Oryzias latipes: one gene and its partners. The protein of the gene in region 1 binds, or shares a complex with, the protein of each later gene. Links are inferred from orthologs where the notes say so. Each region holds a gene or a part of one and is shown in the gene's direction. Other genes may lie near its edges.

Region 1 (5,134 bases):
ATGCTGTTCCCTTTCTGATTATCATGAGTCATATTCCTACAATCCAACCAGATTGATCTCCATGAGGCAAGTTGCTAATTGAATTAAATTGACCTATATACACTCTTGTGGTAGTGTACTCCGTGAACTTGGGTGGGGGGGGTCACTGATGTGGACATGTCTCCAAAATATTGTTTCCCCACTTCAGTACAAAGCCAGGTCTCTACATTCCATCAATTTATCACTCTTTTTATCATGGTGTGTGTATGTATGTGTGTGTGTGTGTGTATGGGGGGGGGGGGGGGGGGGTTGTCGGCATTGTTTGTCGTGTCATTTTGTTTTTCAATTTGATTGTATTTTATGCAAAGCACTGAGTGACATGTGTTGTAAAAGTGCTACATAAATAAAGGTTGATTTGATTATTAAAATAAACGAAATAAATGGATTAAATTGATACTGGAAATGATCATTGGGATTAAGGCACATTAGGTTTATTTTACTATGACCAGGTATCATCACAGCAGACGACACGCATGTGATGGCAGCAAAAAATGATCAAGACATCGATCCAGTCCAATGTGTGGAAATAAATTGGAGTTTTGCAAAGACATGTGACCATAGAGTGTGATAGAATGTTCTAATAATGTTCAGTTTGTATTATTTTAATGTAGAAAAACAATAGTGGGCTGAACTTTATGAAAACTAAATGTGAATGGATTTGCCATTAATTCTTGTTTGGACACATGTTTAATTTATACTTGATTATGTTGCAAGAAACAAGGAATCTGGAAAACTTCACCTGTTCAGTGCCCAGGTATATATCTTATCACTGGTTGAATTTTTGGCTAAATATGTCCTGGATCGATTTTAGGTCAGTAGGGTTGTTCTAAATGAACACATATTAAATATGAATCGTATCGTTGATAAATGAATCTTTACACACTTAATCAAAACATGTCTATGAAGACTCTCATTCATCCATTTGGATAAGAAGTGAAACGTCTTCTAACTTTAAAAACCAAGTCCAGATGACAGCCCCTAAACCGACGACTTTACTTACTGATCAAAGCACAACCTGTTCAGTAAAATTTCAAAATAAGAGAGCAAAAATCCCTGACAACAAAACTGTCTGGGACAGTTGTAGGTCTTTGTACTTTTATTCAACGCGTACAATATGTTGCAATTATTCGATGAAAACCACTGACTCGTGTAAACTTCCAACTTTAGGCAACAAATAAAAACAAAAAAACATATTTAGGTCATGAAAATTCAGAAATCAACGTTAAAATAAAAAACCGGAACTTTGCCGAAGTTTTGAAAATGACATCCTTTAAACAAATTATGAATAACTCCCCATAAGAAGATGATGCTCTAAAAGTGTCGGTTTAAGTTGAGCAAGACAAAGGCCGATAAATCTATACAAACATTACAAGAATTAAGAGGTCGATTTACACAACGAGGAACTTAAGGCGTTCCCCTTTTGATTAACCGAGGCTCGTTTTAACACAATATGCAATAATCATTTTTGTTTATGTTTATCTAAAAATCAATAGCTACTTACCCCTAAGAGACACACTTTTAACTCTCTCAACGCCATATCAGTCTCCTCTTTCAGAGTGACTTTAGATGAAGATCATGGACAGTTTCTCTTCTGCTTGCTTGTTTATATCTTGAATTTTCTTGAGTGGGAATGATTACGAACAGTCTCGTTTCATGGTTGTCAATAGATGGATAATATACATCTCTGGGTTGTTATTAAAAGTATCTCAAAGGTCCTACAGCCCGTCATACAGGCATAATGTCGTTTACTGTAAGCATCCAGCTAGCTAACACAGCGAACCCTCCAAATTGCTCGGTCTCCATCTTGAACCTCGGCGTGTGGTCACGTGATTACATTGGCTCTTCTTTTTGTGTGTTTGTGTGTGTGTGAAGGTACACAAAGAGCCTCACACTCCGTGACGCGTCCACGCTCAGTTATGTCGAGTTTGTGTTTGAACTGCAAAAAGGTTACGTAAGTATTCGCTCCAAAGATATGCAGCCCGTATATACCAGCATATATGCAGTGTCTAGCACCAGGAAATACTTTCAGGAAGTAGTTCGCCGCCGTGTTTGAGTGACAGCTGTGGGGTAGTGACAGCAGCCCGCAGAGCCGAGCCAATACTCAAGATGGCAGGTAATACACTTTTTAAAACCTCCAATTAATATTATTTTTCACTTTCACATTTTTCAAGTTTCAAATCTGTTTCAGGAAAGTGTAGAAATTACATAAAGACGTTCATGTTAGCTGTTTTTGGTACCCGTGTTGCTAAATCGTGCTAAAGCCGCGTTAGCACTATTGGCAACCCTAGCTAACTAGCTAACGACAGCTACTGAGCGGTGTCGAATTAAGTCCCATTCCGGTCGTTTTTTAAACAAATATCGTCACTTTCCGTTTAGTTTGGCTTGTAAAGAACAACTTTCAACTCTTAAAAGCTTGTTGTCCGTCCTTGCTTACGTATTTTCGACCTGTTGACAGAGCAAACGTTAGCTTGATAGCTACATACAGTTAGCCAGTAGCTGACCAAATCCTTCTTTACACTATAACAAAGCGGCTTTGCTGTTCTTCACCCCACTGCTCAAAAGATGCTTTGAAGCCTGTCTCGATGTTTTCTTCAGTCACGAAACACGTTTTTTGGATGTAATTTTGTTAAAAGAAAGTGCTTCAAATTTGTAGCACATTCCTTTGCTTGCAATGTCTAACTGTAAACACATGATCCACTTCCTTCACTTGGTTTGCTTTGCTTTCTCTGTTTTAGCACACGTTTTGTGGTCTTCCTTGACTTAAAAGTTGTTTTTTGATGACGCTTGGGCTTTTTTGTTTTTATTAATTAACTTAATACTATGCTAATAATGATGTTAAGGAATTTTATTAATAAAATAAATCACGAAATATATAAATAGACTTTCTAAAAGGTCTAGATTCATAGATTCTGTCATCACAGATGGGCTATGGGATGAGGATCATAAACCTTGTGTTGTTATATTTGGTTTTTGAATTTAAATTTGATCAGTTTTTGGTCTTCTTTATATACTTTCATTTCCTTTGGTTAGTTATTTCTGTTACTGTTAGAATAATGTAATGCCAAATATGAAAATGTAATTGAATTTGGACCAACTCTGAACATGTTGATTCCTAAATCAAAATGTTTTAACAAAAATAAAAGGATATAGCTGTATAATATTGCACGGTGCTTCTACAGATGAAGTGTTTATTTCCTCTGTTGGACTCAGAAAAGACACATCTGGACTGTATTTGACTGAAAAAGCAAACTATAAAAGACACTGCAATATAGTATCTTATTTTTACCATTAGCACTCTTTATTCTTCAATCAAATGACACATTTTTTTAAATAATCAAAATGTGTCTAATATGACCAAATGTACTAGATCCAAAGCAGAACATCAGGTGTACAGCTAACAATAACAATAAGCATACAAGGCATCTTTCCAATGCCAAATACGTACTTTTTTGTGTTAAACTTTTGTTTTAAAACTAAAATCAAAACTAAAAAGTCATTTCAGATTGTGTTCATTTAGAAAATACTAACACAGCCTCATCCATTTTTATAGCCTCTGTTATTCATTATGGGGGCTGTGATTTAACCTGATCAGCGATTTGTGTACACTAAACTTCATTAAGAGGCTGCAGACTGAAGCATGTTGTGTTTTTATGTGCTGAGTCACATCATGTTTTGTTTAGCATAATAGGGTAGGTGGAAAAATGGCAATACTTCCTAATAAATGTAGAATTTTCTTTGGACCAACAGTGTAAAAAACCAGGTAAAACTAAAAATGTAAAGACATAAAAAAAAAAATTGTGTTTGCTTCTTGTTTTCTACAAAGTCCATCCTCCCTTTAATGTTACATCTTCCTAAATGTGGGGAAATTGTTTATTACAAAAGGTTAGCGTTATGCATTTTCTCTTGGAAAGTTTTTATTCGGCCAAACTTTGTGTTACTGAAATGAAACTTTCTGGTCAGAACCGCAGAAAATCTTCCCCATCATGATTCCTTTACAGTACATGGTGGGAGAAGTGGTGATGGTGTGGTGAGGGTGTTAGTTACTAGAAAAGCCTCTTCTTTTCTGCTTGTCTTTGCAGGTCTATCTTTATACTTTGAAGATAGTCATGATGATATGGATGACTGTAAGTATGCTGGTAAAACTTTACTAAACGTAAAAAAAAATGTTTAAAATATGTTATTTTTGTCATAAATGAATTTGTGATTTATTTATTTATTCCTTCAGGGAGCTTTTCACAAATTATATATATATATATATATATATATATATATATATATATATATATATATATATATATATATATATATATATATATATATATATATATATATATATATACACACACACACACACACTCATCATAATTAGCTTTTTTATTGCTGTTATAAAAGACTAGACAATACTTTTACTTTAACTAGCAACTGCAAATTTAAAAGCTGCGTAATCGTAAAAGGAAACTTACAAATATTATTAAATAGAGCTTTGCGTGTGCACTCATTTTTATTTTTTATAATTCGGTCCTTTGAAAGTACTGATATGTTGGCCAAGTGTTTCTTGACAAAATCCCATTACAAAATACTGGCATGGATTTGTTTACAACGTCCATCCCTGTAAACAACCCTCTGTGTTGTTCCCACAGTTGGATTTGATGACTACGGGTCAGACTGTGACGGCATTCGCATCACGGCTTTTCTTGATGCAGGACAGGACAACCTCACACCTCTTGGGAGGCTAGAGAAATATGCTTTCAGCGAAAATGTCTTCAACAGGTAATTACAGTCCCTGCTTTCAGCCCCTTCAAATCTGCATTCAAAGAGCTCATATTTGGATTTCAGACCCCCGTGACTAGAAGGCTGATTGCTCACATTTGCATTTCTGCTGCTTCTGTAGTCAATGGCTGGTTTGTAATAGAGGAATTGATTGACATCCTCTGAACTGTTGATGATGGATTCCACAGTACCAATGTGTTTTGAGAAAGATAAATGACATAAATGTACATTTGACCAAAGCTAACATTTTTTTCTTCCTTATGTAAATGATAAATGAAACCATAGATAGATAAAAACTTGACATTAATTTTCTACCTGCTGTGTT
Region 2 (4,836 bases), on another chromosome or scaffold:
GCCTTTTATTAACAGTGACCAGGTCTAAACAAACCATAAGTGATGCCTTCCTTACCTTTAACCAGACAGTGTCGTCATCACTAAGGATTCGTTTTTAGTATTTTACTCTGATATGTTTAGAAACTGCTGTAATTCAGTGGAAGATGTACCAAAATATGCAGTAATGACAGGTAATAAATACCACTCAAAGGTTCTGCTGGTGTTCAGTTGTGCCGTTAAAATAATTCCACCTTAAATGTCTGCTCCAGGTTTCCTGTTAGCATTCGTAGACCCAAACAATTGCATTTCTGTTTTTGTTTTCAATGTAAGACGGTTTAGTCCTGCATTGACTTTGCCTTGACTTCAGGTAGAATTCTTTTTTGAGTCTCAGGTTTTCTTTTCTGTCACATCTACAAAGTACCCGACTCTGTCATGGTTTGTTTGAGTTTCCTGGCTTTTGTATTTGGTTCTATTTTAGTTCTGATTCCTGTTTTATTTTGATAGGTTTCCTGTTTTGTATCGTGTTTTTCGGGTTTTACCTTTGGTCCCCATCTGTCCTGATTGTTTCCACCTGTGTCTTGTTTGTGTCTATTTAAGTCCTGTCTTTCTCCTCCTCCTGTGTTGCTCCATAGTTTTGCTGTTTTTCTAGTTTTTGGTTTGTCTTGCCTGCTCAGCAGTGGTCTTTGGTTTATTAAAGCTCCTTTTCACCCGGAACCTCCTGCCTTCTCCTCTCTGCGTCTGGGTTCTCCCTCAGCCCCCTCCGTGACAAACACTGAATGATTTTAACCATCAGCACAATTAAGAAAGCACAACAAATATATTTGAAAAACAGCTTTACATTTTAGAAACTATGCCTATGGGACTCTGGCTTCTTGGATCAACTTCCTGTTTGGAACGCCAGGGGGAGGGGCCACTCAGTCCAGTTCTTTCATACGGTCAATGGTGGAGGTGGAACTTAGCATATTGAAGCAACACCCCATAAATGCAAATGGTTGACACTGGTTGGGGGGGGGGGGGTTGCTTTTTTTCACTTTGAAAAAACACCATGAAAAATGATGCAATGACAATGTTTTAACATTAAGTTAAAACAATAAAGTAGAAATAAAATACAGTCAACGTGAACAATATAACAATGAAAAGGTTAAAACTTCTGGTGTTGTCAGGTTAAGAGAGAAATAAGTTCAAAGCAAACAATGAGTTCAAATGTCACTTTTAATGTTGTAAATTGAAAATTCATTTTGCATATCTAATTCTAATTTGTCCTTTGATTTATGGGATTGTTTTTATTTTTATTTAACATTTTGTTCTAAAACTATGATTTTAAATTTCAATTTTTCACACGGAATTCTAGATTACAAAATGCCTTTTCAAATAAACAGTAAATAAAAGTGTTACTTGTGTTAAATGCACTTATGACTGAAACCTGGATGAATGAATAAAAACCTTCCGTGTCCCATAGGCCTTAACGTGAGGCCGCCGGCGCTCGAACATGAAGCCGTTTGGGGAAAATGCCGTTTCCGTGCCCGTGTGTGACGCAGCCTCTAGATCTAATCAATGATTATTATTATTATTATTATTTATTTATTTATTTTTAACGGACACTTCGGGGGGGTTTGAACAGCCAGACCGGATCAGCAGGTGGTTGTTCTGTAACGCTCCGTCTGGTCCGTGCGCGGCGCGCGCGCCCTTCACCGGAACTTCCCGTCGTCGTTGTTGATGAGAGCAGCAGAAGCCGACCGGCACGGACGATACCGGGGAAAGAGCCGGTGAAGCAGCGGCCTCACACCCGCAGAGCCATCCAATGACGCATCGGCGTTCGTCCCAACACACCGGTCAATAAGGTAATCGCGCGGAGGCGGTTTTGTCGTTCGGTTTGGCTCCGTGTCGTCGTTTGGCGGACATTTGTGCTAACTGTGCTAGCTTACTGGCTGTATGCTAACCATTCTCTGGGTAAAGCCGCTCAGGTCCCGTTTTGTCCACTTTAAGGTTGTCTGTTGTAACCCGTTACTATATACGTTCAGTCCCTGGTCTGAATCGATGCCGCTGTCGTTGAGTGTGGGAGAAAAAACAATAAAGTTGTTGGTTTGTTATCTACGTGATCGTCGATCAGTGATGTAAGCTAGCATGCTAAGGCTTAGCTCAAGCTACGCCCCAAGGCCTCGCATTCTGCTGCATTACGTATGTTCGGCGCCGCTAAGCCCGAACCTCTGCCTAACTTCACGGTGACATTTTCTGCCTTTCTCTGTTTTTATGTCTGTACGTAAACTGGAACCGGGTCTCTTCTCAGACTCAACGCCACCACGGAGATCGGTCTTTCCGAGACTAGAGCCCTTCCGCCCGGACAGACAGAGAGACGTCACTGTGGCAACAGCCGAGACAGGAACGTGACCTGCAGGGAATTTCAGCTGGAAGAAGCGCGTGAGAACCAGCGCGAGGAGGTCTCTATGTGCGTGACAATGGGAGACATCAGTGACCTGGACCGGCAGATAGAGCAGCTGCGAAGATGTGAGCTGATCAAGGAGAACGAAGTCAAAGCGCTGTGCGCCAAAGCCAGGTGGGAGCTGTGTTCCCCTCCACTGCTGGGGGGCCACACTTTTTCTGCATCACGCCAGCCACTAAAAACCACAAGCCGCAGTTTCCTTAGGCCCATGATGGAGCTTTCCATTCTGAACACAACATAACTGAAATGTCTCTATAGGCCTATTAAGCAAATAATAATATTTCTTCCAAGTACTGTTAAATTCTGTACCAAAGGCTGTAGCCAGTGGCCGCTCATTACCATGATTCGCTGGTTCACAGATGTCTGCATAAGTTTACTGTAAGTTGTTCCAAATCGTAATCAAAGTATAAGCTCCCAGAATGCACCGCAACACGTGTCTTTTTAAATATATCCTTACATACACAGACTTAATATGAAAAGACTTTAAAGTGACTCAGAAAATTATTTAGAATTCAGTTGATACATTTAGATTCACATATAAGATATGATAAAAAGTTCCTTCAGCAGCTTGTTGATTTGGACCTGTGTGTGTTTTGTTGTTATGTTAACAGCAGAGCATCGCACAGCAGAAACATTTCTATTGCTAGGAGTCTGACGCTGAATGCTCCTCTTTCTCAAGTTTAGGAGGAAGAAAAACTCCAGATCAGCCCCCCCCCCCCCCTTTTTTTTTTTTGTTCTGTTTTGGGCTTCATTCTTGGGATAAGCTAATACTTCTTCCAGGATCTACTTGGTTGTCGTTGAAGTGAGAGCATGCCCGGCTACAGTAGGTCCGCCCCCCCTTGGCCCACTCAGGTTTTATACCAGGTGACAAGCCTGGCGGTGGAGCAGCGGCGGGGACAGGGCGCACACCGGGCCGGGCCCCTGATTCATGGACAGAGCTCGAGAGGCACAGGCTTCTGCCCGAGCGGGCCTCAATCATTCAGGCAGAAACCGCAGACCCGGCAGCCGGTGCCGTGGCAGGACGGCTGGGTCAGACGGGGCTTCACGGTCTCGTTTCCGATCAGGGAGGCGCTGGCCGACTTGTGCTTCCATACACGGTTCTGCAGGCTGGAGAGACGCTGTCCCGGGGACCCGGCGGACAGTGTGCCGGTCGACCTGCTGCTCGTATAGTTGAACACGGATGTGCAATGACCTTTTCATCACAGGATGTTTGTTTGGCTGTTCTGCATTCTTATCAAGTGATTTACTTCATGACAAGGATGATGATTGGCAGACGGCAATAAAAACAATCAAAGTTTCTTTTTGATGGCCCATGATCAATTCGCATTGATCAGGGTTGACTAGTCGATCGTGATGGACGCACTAGGCAGTGCTATATCGGTGCTATTGTCACCTGAAAAGTGCTTTTCCTGTAGAAGGTGAAGAGTTACTGGAAACTAGAGAATGAAGGATTGTTCAATACTGTATTTTTCAATATTCCCAGAGTTATTTCTTGAAATGATGAAAAAAACTTCTTTTGTAATTGACAGATTTCAGAACACTGTCACTTTTTTTAAACAGAACATGTTTAGAACCTCATTGTCATACGTGTTCATGACTTTCTTTCAGAGAAATCCTGGTTGAAGAGAGTAACGTTCAGAGAGTAGACTCTCCAGTCACTGTAAGTTCCATTTGCTGCTTTTAAATCCAAAGTCGTTGATTGTTCGTTTGACCTTCTGTTCTCTTATTTTTTGTAGGTTTGTGGTGATATACACGGTCAGTTCTATGACCTGAAAGAACTCTTCAGAGTAAGCTTTTATGTTTGTTTTAATCCAAGCTCCAGACAAAATCGTGGTTTATTTTCCTGCACTGCTGTTTGGTTTTGATGGTTGGACACTTCTTCTTTATGGGCTGTGACGTAGGGCTGGACCATTAATCAGTTATGTCCAATTTGATGTTTTAGACTGTTTATTTTTGAGAAAATGGAGACGTTTCCCCCCAGCTCTCTGCTCTCTTCCGTGTTGGGAGTAAAAGCCGCCCGCCGGTCCGTCCAAAGCACGGATGTGAGAACAGCAGCGAGCAAAGAGGAGCTACTTCAGCGAGGCGGAGCAATGAAAACACGAGCGCCACGAGAAGTGCCCCGTAACTTCTGCTAGTGACCTCTGTGTAGAAATAGCAGTACTCTGTACTCAGTAGTTTTAACAGAATGTCTGTACAGAGGCCTTGAAATGTGTTTGCTGATGCCAGATCCAGGTCAACTTTAAAGCAAACGGTGTTATTAAAACAAAAGTTGGGCTGTTTGCTTTAAACTGCCCTTCATTCTGTCTGTACACGTGTGGGTTTACAGCACAGCCGCGCTCCTCTGGTGTCCGATGGTCCGACCGGTTCTCCTCAGGCTGTACTGTGTGTTTTAGCCTGAGGCCTTCTGCTGGCCTCTT
Region 3 (4,340 bases), on another chromosome or scaffold:
GCATAAGAGGCTTTTCTTCATCCTCATCTTTAATACTTTCAGCGTAAACTCTTAACCTTGCTTGTGCTGCGTTATGCTTTTGCATCTCTTTTAATAGTTCCACTTCTTTTCTTTTCTCCTCCAACCTGTTTTTTATTGTTGCACTTTCTGTTAGAAACTGTGCTCGTTTTTTTGCATCTTCAACTTCTAGTTCTCTGATTTCTTCTTCACGTTGATGTTGGGTTTTCATTATTTTGATGACTTCTTCTGAGGCGGCTACTTCAGCTGCTGCTAGTTGTCTTTGTACTGTGTCAGAAGATGACCGCTTGGACATATCAGACATGACCTTTGATTTGTAAGACATGCTTGAAGAAGTACTACTTGAACTACTGTGAAACACTGATTCAGAATCTGGCCAAGGAATATCTTCTGGATTGCCATCTTGTTCGAGTAAACACTGTGCTTTAGCTTTGGCTGTGTGACTGATCGTATGGCACATGTCACATTTTCTTCTTATTTCAATGTCTGGACTTCTAATTTGTCTTATTGAATCATAGATATTGCAGATTTCTTTCTGAAACGTGTCTATTGTGTCCACAGCTTCAGCGATTATTTCTATGTCTTTACCTCTCATAAATCTCCTGAAACAGTTTATGTGATACTTCCACTTTTTGTATAGACACTCAAATTCTTTTGTTAAATCAGTCAGGTGAGCTTCTTGCAGAGATTTTCCCTTTTCAGTTAGTGTGCGTTTGCGCTGACTTTTGCGAACTGCTGTTTGTTTACTTTCAGCTGATACTGATGTTTGCAGAGTTTCTTCTCCATCTGACTGCTCATTATCATCATCTTGTGTTTTACATTCTGCACCGTCTTCCTTAGTGCGCCCTTCTGTATCCTTCTCCTCATCTGCCATTTTGAGTGTAAATTGTAGCTTGTAGTTGTCTTAAGCTTGATATGCATTCACTTTTTGATGCCTCAGCTCTCTATCTTTAGCTTTCACATGCAGCTGTCTAGTTTTGTGCTGCTCCAAAAAATGCACTTTGGTTCTTGTTTGTCTAACTCTCACTTGATCACTTTACCTTAGATTTTGCAGTGCTTCGTTTAAGCATGTGATCCTTCCCTTGTATTTGCAGCTTCTTGCTTGCAGCTTGCTTCAGTCCCGACAGTGCTTTGCCTTCTCCGGGGCAGTAAAGTGTTCTACTGTGCCGGCTTGGTCATTTTTTCACACAGACGAGAGGCGTTCGAGTTCCTTGTACTGCTGTTTAATGTGGTGTTCCTTTCTTTAAACTTTACACCGCATCAACATCCGTAGAACACTTTGGCCTGCTAATGAACCAACCGGTGAACTAAAACACAAAAATTCTTCTTAATTGTTCTCTTATTGCCGTCTGTCGTGCTGACTTTGCATGTGCTGCTCTTATAGGAAACAGGAAGTGCCTATTACAACCTGTAACTGAACTCAGGTAAACTAAACATTAAAAACTCTTCAAAATTAAATCTTACTGCTCCTAAAGCTTCATAGGTGTGATATAAAATGTAGAAAATACAAATATTTAAATCTACAAATTAAAGAAAAATAATTAAAAACGTTTTAGGTAGCACTGCGGCAGAGCGCCCTCTGCTGTCAAAATAAATAACTACTAAGACATCAACTGCTATAGTATTTAATTAAGTCTATCTAATTGCATTGTAATGGTTGGACTAAACTGGATTGTAACATCTGTAATGAATCTGGACATGTTTATATTGATTTCTCATGGCTTATGTGCAGCTCTTTGAGACACCCTTGGTTGTGAATCGGTTCTCTGTAAATAAACAGAATTGACCTGAAAAACGAGAAATAATGACTGTTCATGCTTTACTGCACATAAGCAAAACTGTGATATAGCATGATATTTAGGTCTGGGGTCTTTTCTATTCTCTTGTGTCAGGGCTCAGTAAGTTCTGCAGCCAATTTATCAGTTGTGCTAATCCTCAGTCTGGTCCTGGAAGATCCAAACTAGTTCACTGAAATGATTCTTCAACAGACCTGAGGCCTGCAGCTAAAAAGGGAACCAGAAGAACATAGATTGGTTAAAGTTTTTAGAGTCTGAACTGGTTTTAGTTCAGATATTCTAGCTCTAATTAACTCTCATGTCTTTAGCCAGGGTCAGGAGATGCAGAGGGCCTGCGTCATCAGTAACTTACCCAGTCTAGTTCGCCAGAACCCTGCTGAGACATTCCGCCGGGTTGTACCAAAGGTTCGGGTATGTAAACACCATAAAGCTGCTTCAGATTTCAAGAGGTGACGGGGTTTCACCTGATATGCTTCTGTTCTCCAGGAGGTCCTAAATGGTGCAGGTGTTGAGATCCAGCTGGCAGCAGCAGCTTCGTTTTTAACCATCTTGCAGGATGACATAATTCTGATCCACACTCACACCTATTCCATTCTAAAGACTGTCCTGCAGCAACTGAACCACAGAGACACAGGTAAACTCACCTGAACCACAGAGACACAGCTTGGATTTGATTTGGATTTGAATGATTTATACAAGTATTTAAATAATACAATTTTAAAAAGTATAAAATTCAGAGTTATCAAAGCTATTTTACATATTAGGTAATACATTAATTAAAAAGCAAATATAATAAAAAAAAAAGGGCTGCACGGTGACGCAGTGGTTAGCGCTCTTGCCTCACAGCCCCTGGTTCAAGTCCCAGCTGGGGGACCTGAACCAGAACATCAATGGGGGGCCCTTTCTGTGTGGAGTTTGCATGTTCTCTCTGCGTGGGTTCTCTCTGGGATCTCCGTCTTCCTCCCACTGTCCAAAAACATGCTTCATAGGTTAATTGGTCACTCTAAATTGTCCATAGGTGTGAGTGTGAGAGTGATTGTGATTGAGGCCCTGCAACAGACTGGGGACCTGTCCAGGATGTACCCTGCCTTCGCCCACAGGTAGCCGTAATTAACCAATCAGGACAGGTAATTAATAGGCTCCGGCAGCCCCGTGACCCCGAAAGGGATAAAACGGGAGAAAATGAATGAATGAATGAATATAACAAACAAAGGAGAAAGAAGATGCCATCTTTTGACAGAGTAATTACTCATAACTAAAAATAAAGGTATTTTCCCCATACATAGAGTACAGACACAACACACATTAGATTCCTTAACCCTTGTGCTTTCTTAGATGACCCCCCCCTTGCATTGACGTGTTCTCCCTAACATGACAAAGGTGGATAAAGGTGGAAAGATTTCATGTAATCCATGGACACCAGTGAAGATCACAAATCATTGAAGAAAAAAGGTTCAGAGCACTGTCTAGTGGGTCTAGATGAGTTGCAGAAACTCAGATTGTCTTTGTAATGTTTACGTTTTATTACAACCACTGAATTAGGATGCTCAGAGCTGAGATGTTGAAATGAGGCCAATGCTGATTTTGCCTTGTGTTTGGCTGACATTGTTGTTTCTGTCACAGTGGTGAGCAGCGCCTGGTTGGAGACTCTGCTGTCAGCCATAAATGTTCTTCCCAAGGAAACCATCAAACAGGAGGTTAGCTCCAACTCAAACTTCCTGTTGTATTTGTGATTGTGTTCACCTGCTCTTTGCTAACTGATGAAAAGAACTCAGTGGATGTTCAACATTATAAATCTGTAAAATATCTTTGATAGCTGTGCCTGTCTCTGTCCTTCCAGGTGTTGAACTCTCTCATGTATCAGACGCAGATGTCTCATTTCCTTCAGGGTCGTTTGGCTGCTTGCCGTATTTTAGGAAAAGTTGCCTCTAGGTTTAATTGTCACATGTGAGTTCCACAAACTGAAACACAATGCTCCTTGTTTATCACACCTTCCTGGTACTGTGAAGACCTGAACAGGTACATCGTCTGCTTGTCAGGGTGATGAAGGAGTTGTTGCCACTGGCTCGTTCTTTGCTTCAGGATGTGGAACCTGAAGTCCGTGCCTGCATGTGCAATCACTTGGAGAGCATTGCCAGAGCCATTGGGTAACTGCTCCCAAACAAAAGAGAAACTGAACAACAGGTGACCAATGCACACCACATGTCTCTAATAAAAGCTTTCCTTGGGTTTATGCTTCAGTGAAGACAATTACAGGACAGAACTTTGGCCAGAGCTTGTTGAGCTTGCTGGAGATGAGGAGAACAGTGTCCAACTGGCAAGCTTTGACACAATCATCAACCTGATGGAGATGATAGATGGCAGTGAGTGCAGAATGAAAGCCCTCCTTGCTGAGCAAATCCCTGTACAACATATTTAAATTCCTAATTTCTTTTCAGAGGACCTACTTCCTGTCATGGTTCCCATGGTGATGATGGTTTGTGAGGCTGCAGCACAGGCGGATGAAGCAGTTATGGTGTCCCTGTC
Region 4 (5,069 bases), on another chromosome or scaffold:
AAGGTGTCACTATAAGTCAGGTGGATGAAGAAACGTTCTCTGTGTTTGCTCCAACTCCTGGAGCTATGAATGAAGCCCAGGAGTTCATTAGCGATATCTGCAAAGACGATGTGAGCCAACAACAAAATCCAGAATGCATCTGGTTTATTCATTAATTATCAGTTTGATATTCCAGACTATCACTGAACCTTGCCTATATGTACCTAAAGCTCGAGCATTAATGTTGCTTCCCATTTGCAGCAGGAGCAGCAGTTGGAGTTTGGTGCCGTCTACACTGCCACCATCACAGAAATAAGGTAACCTTATTTACTTTTGAGGGCTGAAAGCGAGCCCTGATCCAGCCACTGATGGACATACCTCTCTGTTTTAGGGACATTGGTGTGATGGTTAAACTATATCCAAACATGACGCCTGTCTTGCTGCACAACTCCCAGCTGGACCACAAACGGGTTTGTAAAACGCACTTTGGTGGACTTTTTTAATCTGTTTTTGTTAAACCACACCATCCAATTTTCTTTTATAGAGCACTTAAATGATCTGTTCTGATCTGAAGTGGTGTACAATCATGTAAACAAAAAAGAAGATAAAAACAATGCACAAGTAAATTGAAAATAATCAATCAAATAAAATGACGAAAATGTATCTCTTGTAGATCAAGCATCCAAGTGCTTTGGGTTTGGATGTAGGACAGGAGATACAGGTTTGTGTCAGCTGTTCAAAGTGACCTGTTTTATTGCCACTGTGGGGTTTCTTTTTTTCTAACAAGTGTTCTCCTGACAGGTGAAGTATTTTGGACGAGATCCAACAGACGGCAGAATGAGGCTTTCACGAAAGGTGTTGCAGTCTCCTGCCGCCACTGTCGTCAAGACGCTAAGTGAGAAACAGAGCATTTCCATGGGTTCAAACATCAGCGAAAGATCCGACTTGTGACAGAATGGCACAGCGCAGAGTTTCCTGACTAATCCACCAACTACAATTCGAAAGGAATATTACTTTTGAAGTAGTAATCCCAAGAAAGATGCAACAGATGTCGTAAACATGGCACTATTGGACAAATGAGGCATCTGGCTGACAAGAACAGAATTGTGTTTTGTTTTTTTTGTGTTTTTTTTTAGGTTTGTCCTTGTTATGTCATGTATCAGCAACAATGCTTCTTGTACTTCCACAAATATTTGTGCCTTATGTGGTGGTATGATTACAAGTTTGCAAAAGTCTAGTACTTGCTATTGTTTAGGATTTTTACATTTCATATCTATTGTCCTCTAATATACTGGTATAGAAACAAAAACAAAGTGGGAGAACTTCACAGCATATGTACTTGTTTTTTTTTATTTATAGTCTATGTAAATACACAAATACATGGCATTTCTTAATCATTTTGGAAATAAATAAAACGTTTTTTTTCTATAATCTAATATTGAAATGTATTGTTTTATGCATTATTTGGTAATTGTTTCAAATATTTATGTGACGAAAACTAAATTATTTTTTTTACTTAAAATGCATGAGGTACTGCAGTTCCTTTCCCAGCCATTAAGTTGCGGAATTCCCAGTTGCCTGAAGGAATAAGCCCCGCCCCACGCACGGCAGTTAGCGCATGATTGACATCCGCGATGAAAAAGAGCACAAGATCGGATTACAAGATGGCGGTCCGTGGACGTTAGCAAGAAGGCCATCAGAGTTGTTTCTTTAAATTTCTCAGTTTGAAATCAGACTGTCTATTTGGATTTATAACCGCAAACGTGATATGTTTGCGAGATATATTCGACTACTACTGTAAACGTCAACCTAGACTGGCATGTTTTGTAACATGCAGGTGGGAACAAAGTTAACAGGTCGAGGAAAGCAGTAAACGGGGTGAGGTGATAGCTTAGCAGCCTGCTAGCTCCGATTCGATTAGCCATGTCGGACACTCGGCGGCGAGTAAAGGTATACACGCTAAATGAAGACAGGCAGTGGGACGATCGGGGTACAGGTCATGTTTCATCTACGTTTGTGGAACGACTGAGGGGAATATCACTGCTAGTTCGAGCCGAATCGGACGGTAAGTTCTCTGTTAGCATTAGCTAACTAGCATGCTATATTTTAAATAGCAAAGCTCTTAGTTTGATAGCATTTCTGACTTGGTGGATGTATTTATGCAGTTGGTGTAGCGTTGTGTGTCACTAAATTAATTGTTTTAGACCAATTGGTATATATTTACTTTGAAAACATGAAGTCAAATGTTTGTTTTTCTTTTTCCGGAGAGTCCTCATTTCCAACGACTAGTTGGTTTGGTTGGTCGTAGTAGCATGGGCCCCCCCTCAAAGTCGCGGCGCACACGTTTACACTTGCTCGTTGTAATAAACTTAATCTATTCATGGATATTGCTCTATTTCTGCTACTATTACGTCAGGCTGTATTAATTTGGTTCATAAACTACTGTATTTATTTTAGCTGTTATTCTGATCTTATTTTGAACTAATCATCATTGTGGTTCATACGTCTATTGTTGGCAAATAGTTAATTGGTTTGTAAATAGTTTCATACCACTCTGAAAATTAAGCAATTCTGTTTTTTATTAGGATCTTTGTTGTTGGAATCAAAGATAAGTCCGAATACTGCATATCAGAAACAACAGGTAAGTATTTAATATTTCAACAATTAAGGAGTTTTATACTTGGTTTAATTGAGTCTTACAATTGAAAAGCTATTGCATAATAGTAAAGTTTTCCTCCTCTGTGGTTATTCTGTTGTAAGAAAGTTGGGAATAGATGATGTGTAATTATGCTAGTATACTAAGCTTTTTTTACTTGAAGACTTTGTAATGTGAAATACTGTTATATTTATCATCAGTACAATTGTTCAACCTTAGGAATAACACAATTGTGGTATTTCATTACCACAAGAAAACATATACATTAAAACAATACTAGACATCTTATGCAGGGGAAATGAAAGGGAGCAGCAATAAGAAAAATATATCTTTCTACCCCTAAAAACATTTAGAAGAGGTACATCTACAACTATGTACACAGAAGTATCTTCTTTTTTTACTTTTCTACACCTGTTCAGTCATTTAAAAACAAAGTCGTTGGTTGTATTTTTGTATGAGTACAATGATTAAGGCACACATTCTGGGTTTAAATTAAGCTTTATTTAAAGTTTTAATGTAAAATATGTTTGAAGACAATTGTTGTTGTTGCTATTTTTGTATTTTTGGTAATAGGAAAAAGTTTCATTCTTTTCTTTCAGGACACACTGATTGTTTGGTCAGAAGCGGATAATTACGATCTTGCTCTAAGCTTCCAGGAAAAGGCTGGCTGTGATGAGATTTGGGAAAGGATCTGTCAGGTAATTACAAATAAAGACAGTTCAGCATGTCCCTCCTTCTTGGTGTCCCTTCTCTTTGATGTTTGAAAAACGTTCCTGTCAGGTGGGACTTTGTAACTGTTACTGTATAACGATTGAAACATGTTAAATAACATATATATTTTTTTATAAATAAAGGGATTGAGGGTTTTGGTCTTTTAACTCGTTAAAGTTTGACATTGTATTTTAGCAAAAAAAATAAGTTTATTTTTAGCTGTGGCTCATACCTGCAAGTATCACATACGTTTAGAATGTATAAGAATGCTGCGAGTTTTGCAGTTTTTACTACCAGTATCCCAAGTAAGGGAGTTCATGATTCTTTACTGTAAATTTTTTTTTTTAAATATGTGATTTTTATTTTATTATTTTTGCTCAGGTACAAGGCAAAGACCCTGCTCTGGACATCACTCAGGATCCCATCGATGAATCAGAGGAGGACCACTTTGAGGAAATTCCAGAGACAAGCCACTTGGTTGAGCTCCCGCCATGTGAACTAGGTCGACTTGAGGAAATCGCTGACCTGGTTACCTCTGTTCTCTCCTCACCCATTCGGCGCGAAAAACTTGCACTGGCTCTAATGAGTGAGGGCTACATAAAGAAACTGCTGGGTCTCTTCAGAGTATGCGAGGACCTGGACAACAGAGAAGGCTTGCATCACCTCTATGAGGTTGTGCGGGGAGTCTTGTTCCTCAACAAAGCTGCCCTTTTTGAGGTGATGTTCTCGGATGACTGTATCATGGATGTGGTAGGTTGCCTTGAGTATGACCCAGCATTGGTTCAGCCTAAAAGACATCGGGAGTTCTTGACCAAGACCGCAAAATTTAAGGAAGTGATCCCGATTACGGACTCTGAGCTGCGGCAGAAAATCCACCAGACCTACAGAGTTCAATACATCCAGGACATAATACTGCCTACACCCTCAGTGTTTGAGGAGAACTTCCTGTCCACCCTCACGTCCTTCATTTTCTTCAACAAAGTGGAGATTGTCAGTATGTTGCAGGTAAGGATCTAAACCAGGCTAAAGTGAGTGTAAGTTTCAGTTTAATGTATTTAACAATGTAAATTAAAATGTTTTCTATTAAAAGGGATTCTTTTAAGATGTAATCAACATTCTGCACATTGACTGTTGGACAGTCTGTATCTTCTGTTGTTCGCTACGTTAATGTACTCTCTCCAGTTTCTAATACAAAAAAATTTATGGCAAAAAAATGAAATTGTGATTTTAAAAATGTGTTCTCTACATAAATAGGAGATAATTGAGAGAAACTGAACAGGATAATACTTGTGCTAGTGTGTTTTGCATTATTTTCTTGAAAAGTTCACTGTAAGTCAAGATATTTGTTTAAAAAAATGACAGCGTTTAGAATGTGCCAAGAGAATGAGTTGTTCTACAAAGCTTCAACCTGCTTTGTCATAATGTGTCCCCCTCTATTGTTTCCATAATAATGTCTTAATACATTTTCACATAAAAGTTTAAGATGATCATTTGAGATTTTCATCATATATCTCAGATTTCTTCTGTTTTTAACTTTTTTTTTAATGTTACCTGATAGTAATAGTTTAGTTGTCTTTTATATATATATTTTAAAAATAACTTCCGGCACTCTTCACTGTTTGTATTGTTTCCATGGTGTAATCAGTTCCAACTGATTTCCTGTTTCTTCCAATCTCTTGCATGATCTCTTCCAGGTTTTTAATTTTGATCTGAAATTGCTCAA

Evidence for each region.
Region 2: ppp4r1 (region 1) and ppp4c share a complex: the UniProt entries of both Homo sapiens proteins name them as parts of the PP4 complex. The link is inferred for Oryzias latipes from reciprocal best matches to the Homo sapiens genes PPP4R1 and PPP4C.
Region 3: ppp4r1 (region 1) and ppp4r4 share a complex: the UniProt entries of both Homo sapiens proteins name them as parts of the PP4 complex. The link is inferred for Oryzias latipes from reciprocal best matches to the Homo sapiens genes PPP4R1 and PPP4R4.
Region 4: ppp4r1 (region 1) and ppp4r3b share a complex: the UniProt entries of both Homo sapiens proteins name them as parts of the PP4 complex. The link is inferred for Oryzias latipes from reciprocal best matches to the Homo sapiens genes PPP4R1 and PPP4R3B.

What each region holds. Positions count from the first base shown.
Region 1 is NC_019863.2:13,840,910-13,846,043, forward strand, and holds the start of ppp4r1 (serine/threonine-protein phosphatase 4 regulatory subunit 1), read left to right. Parts: upstream 1-1,934; 5' UTR 1,935-2,145; coding exon 2,146-2,152; intron 2,153-4,118; coding exon 4,119-4,163; intron 4,164-4,679; coding exon 4,680-4,809; intron 4,810-5,134. Other genes in the region: rab22a (ras-related protein Rab-22A), read right to left, coding at 1,541-1,576. UniProt on the Homo sapiens protein: Regulatory subunit of serine/threonine-protein phosphatase 4. May play a role in regulation of cell division in renal glomeruli. The PPP4C-PPP4R1 PP4 complex may play a role in dephosphorylation and regulation of HDAC3.
Region 2 is NC_019866.2:25,212,872-25,217,707, reverse strand, and holds the start of ppp4c (serine/threonine-protein phosphatase 4 catalytic subunit), read left to right. Parts: upstream 1-1,475; 5' UTR 1,476-1,820; intron 1,821-2,266; 5' UTR 2,267-2,423; coding exon 2,424-2,533; intron 2,534-4,027; coding exon 4,028-4,079; intron 4,080-4,155; coding exon 4,156-4,206; intron 4,207-4,836. Other genes in the region: actin-related protein 2/3 complex subunit 1A, read right to left, coding at 1,403-1,436. UniProt on the Homo sapiens protein: Protein phosphatase that is involved in many processes such as microtubule organization at centrosomes, maturation of spliceosomal snRNPs, apoptosis, DNA repair, tumor necrosis factor (TNF)-alpha signaling, activation of c-Jun N-terminal kinase MAPK8, regulation of histone acetylation, DNA damage checkpoint signaling, NF-kappa-B activation and cell migration.
Region 3 is NC_019882.2:23,175,306-23,179,645, reverse strand, and holds part of ppp4r4 (serine/threonine-protein phosphatase 4 regulatory subunit 4), read left to right. Parts: intron 1-2,122; coding exon 2,123-2,225; intron 2,226-2,300; coding exon 2,301-2,448; intron 2,449-3,437; coding exon 3,438-3,511; intron 3,512-3,654; coding exon 3,655-3,761; intron 3,762-3,853; coding exon 3,854-3,961; intron 3,962-4,055; coding exon 4,056-4,177; intron 4,178-4,252; coding exon 4,253-4,340. UniProt on the Homo sapiens protein: Putative regulatory subunit of serine/threonine-protein phosphatase 4.
Region 4 is NC_019873.2:15,889,323-15,894,391, forward strand, and holds the start of ppp4r3b (serine/threonine-protein phosphatase 4 regulatory subunit 3B), read left to right. Parts: upstream 1-1,602; 5' UTR 1,603-1,902; coding exon 1,903-2,044; intron 2,045-2,564; coding exon 2,565-2,620; intron 2,621-3,234; coding exon 3,235-3,333; intron 3,334-3,727; coding exon 3,728-4,351; intron 4,352-5,069. Other genes in the region: pnpt1 (polyribonucleotide nucleotidyltransferase 1, mitochondrial), read left to right, coding at 4-110, 241-296, 371-449, 653-700, 781-930. UniProt on the Homo sapiens protein: Regulatory subunit of serine/threonine-protein phosphatase 4 (PP4). May regulate the activity of PPP4C at centrosomal microtubule organizing centers.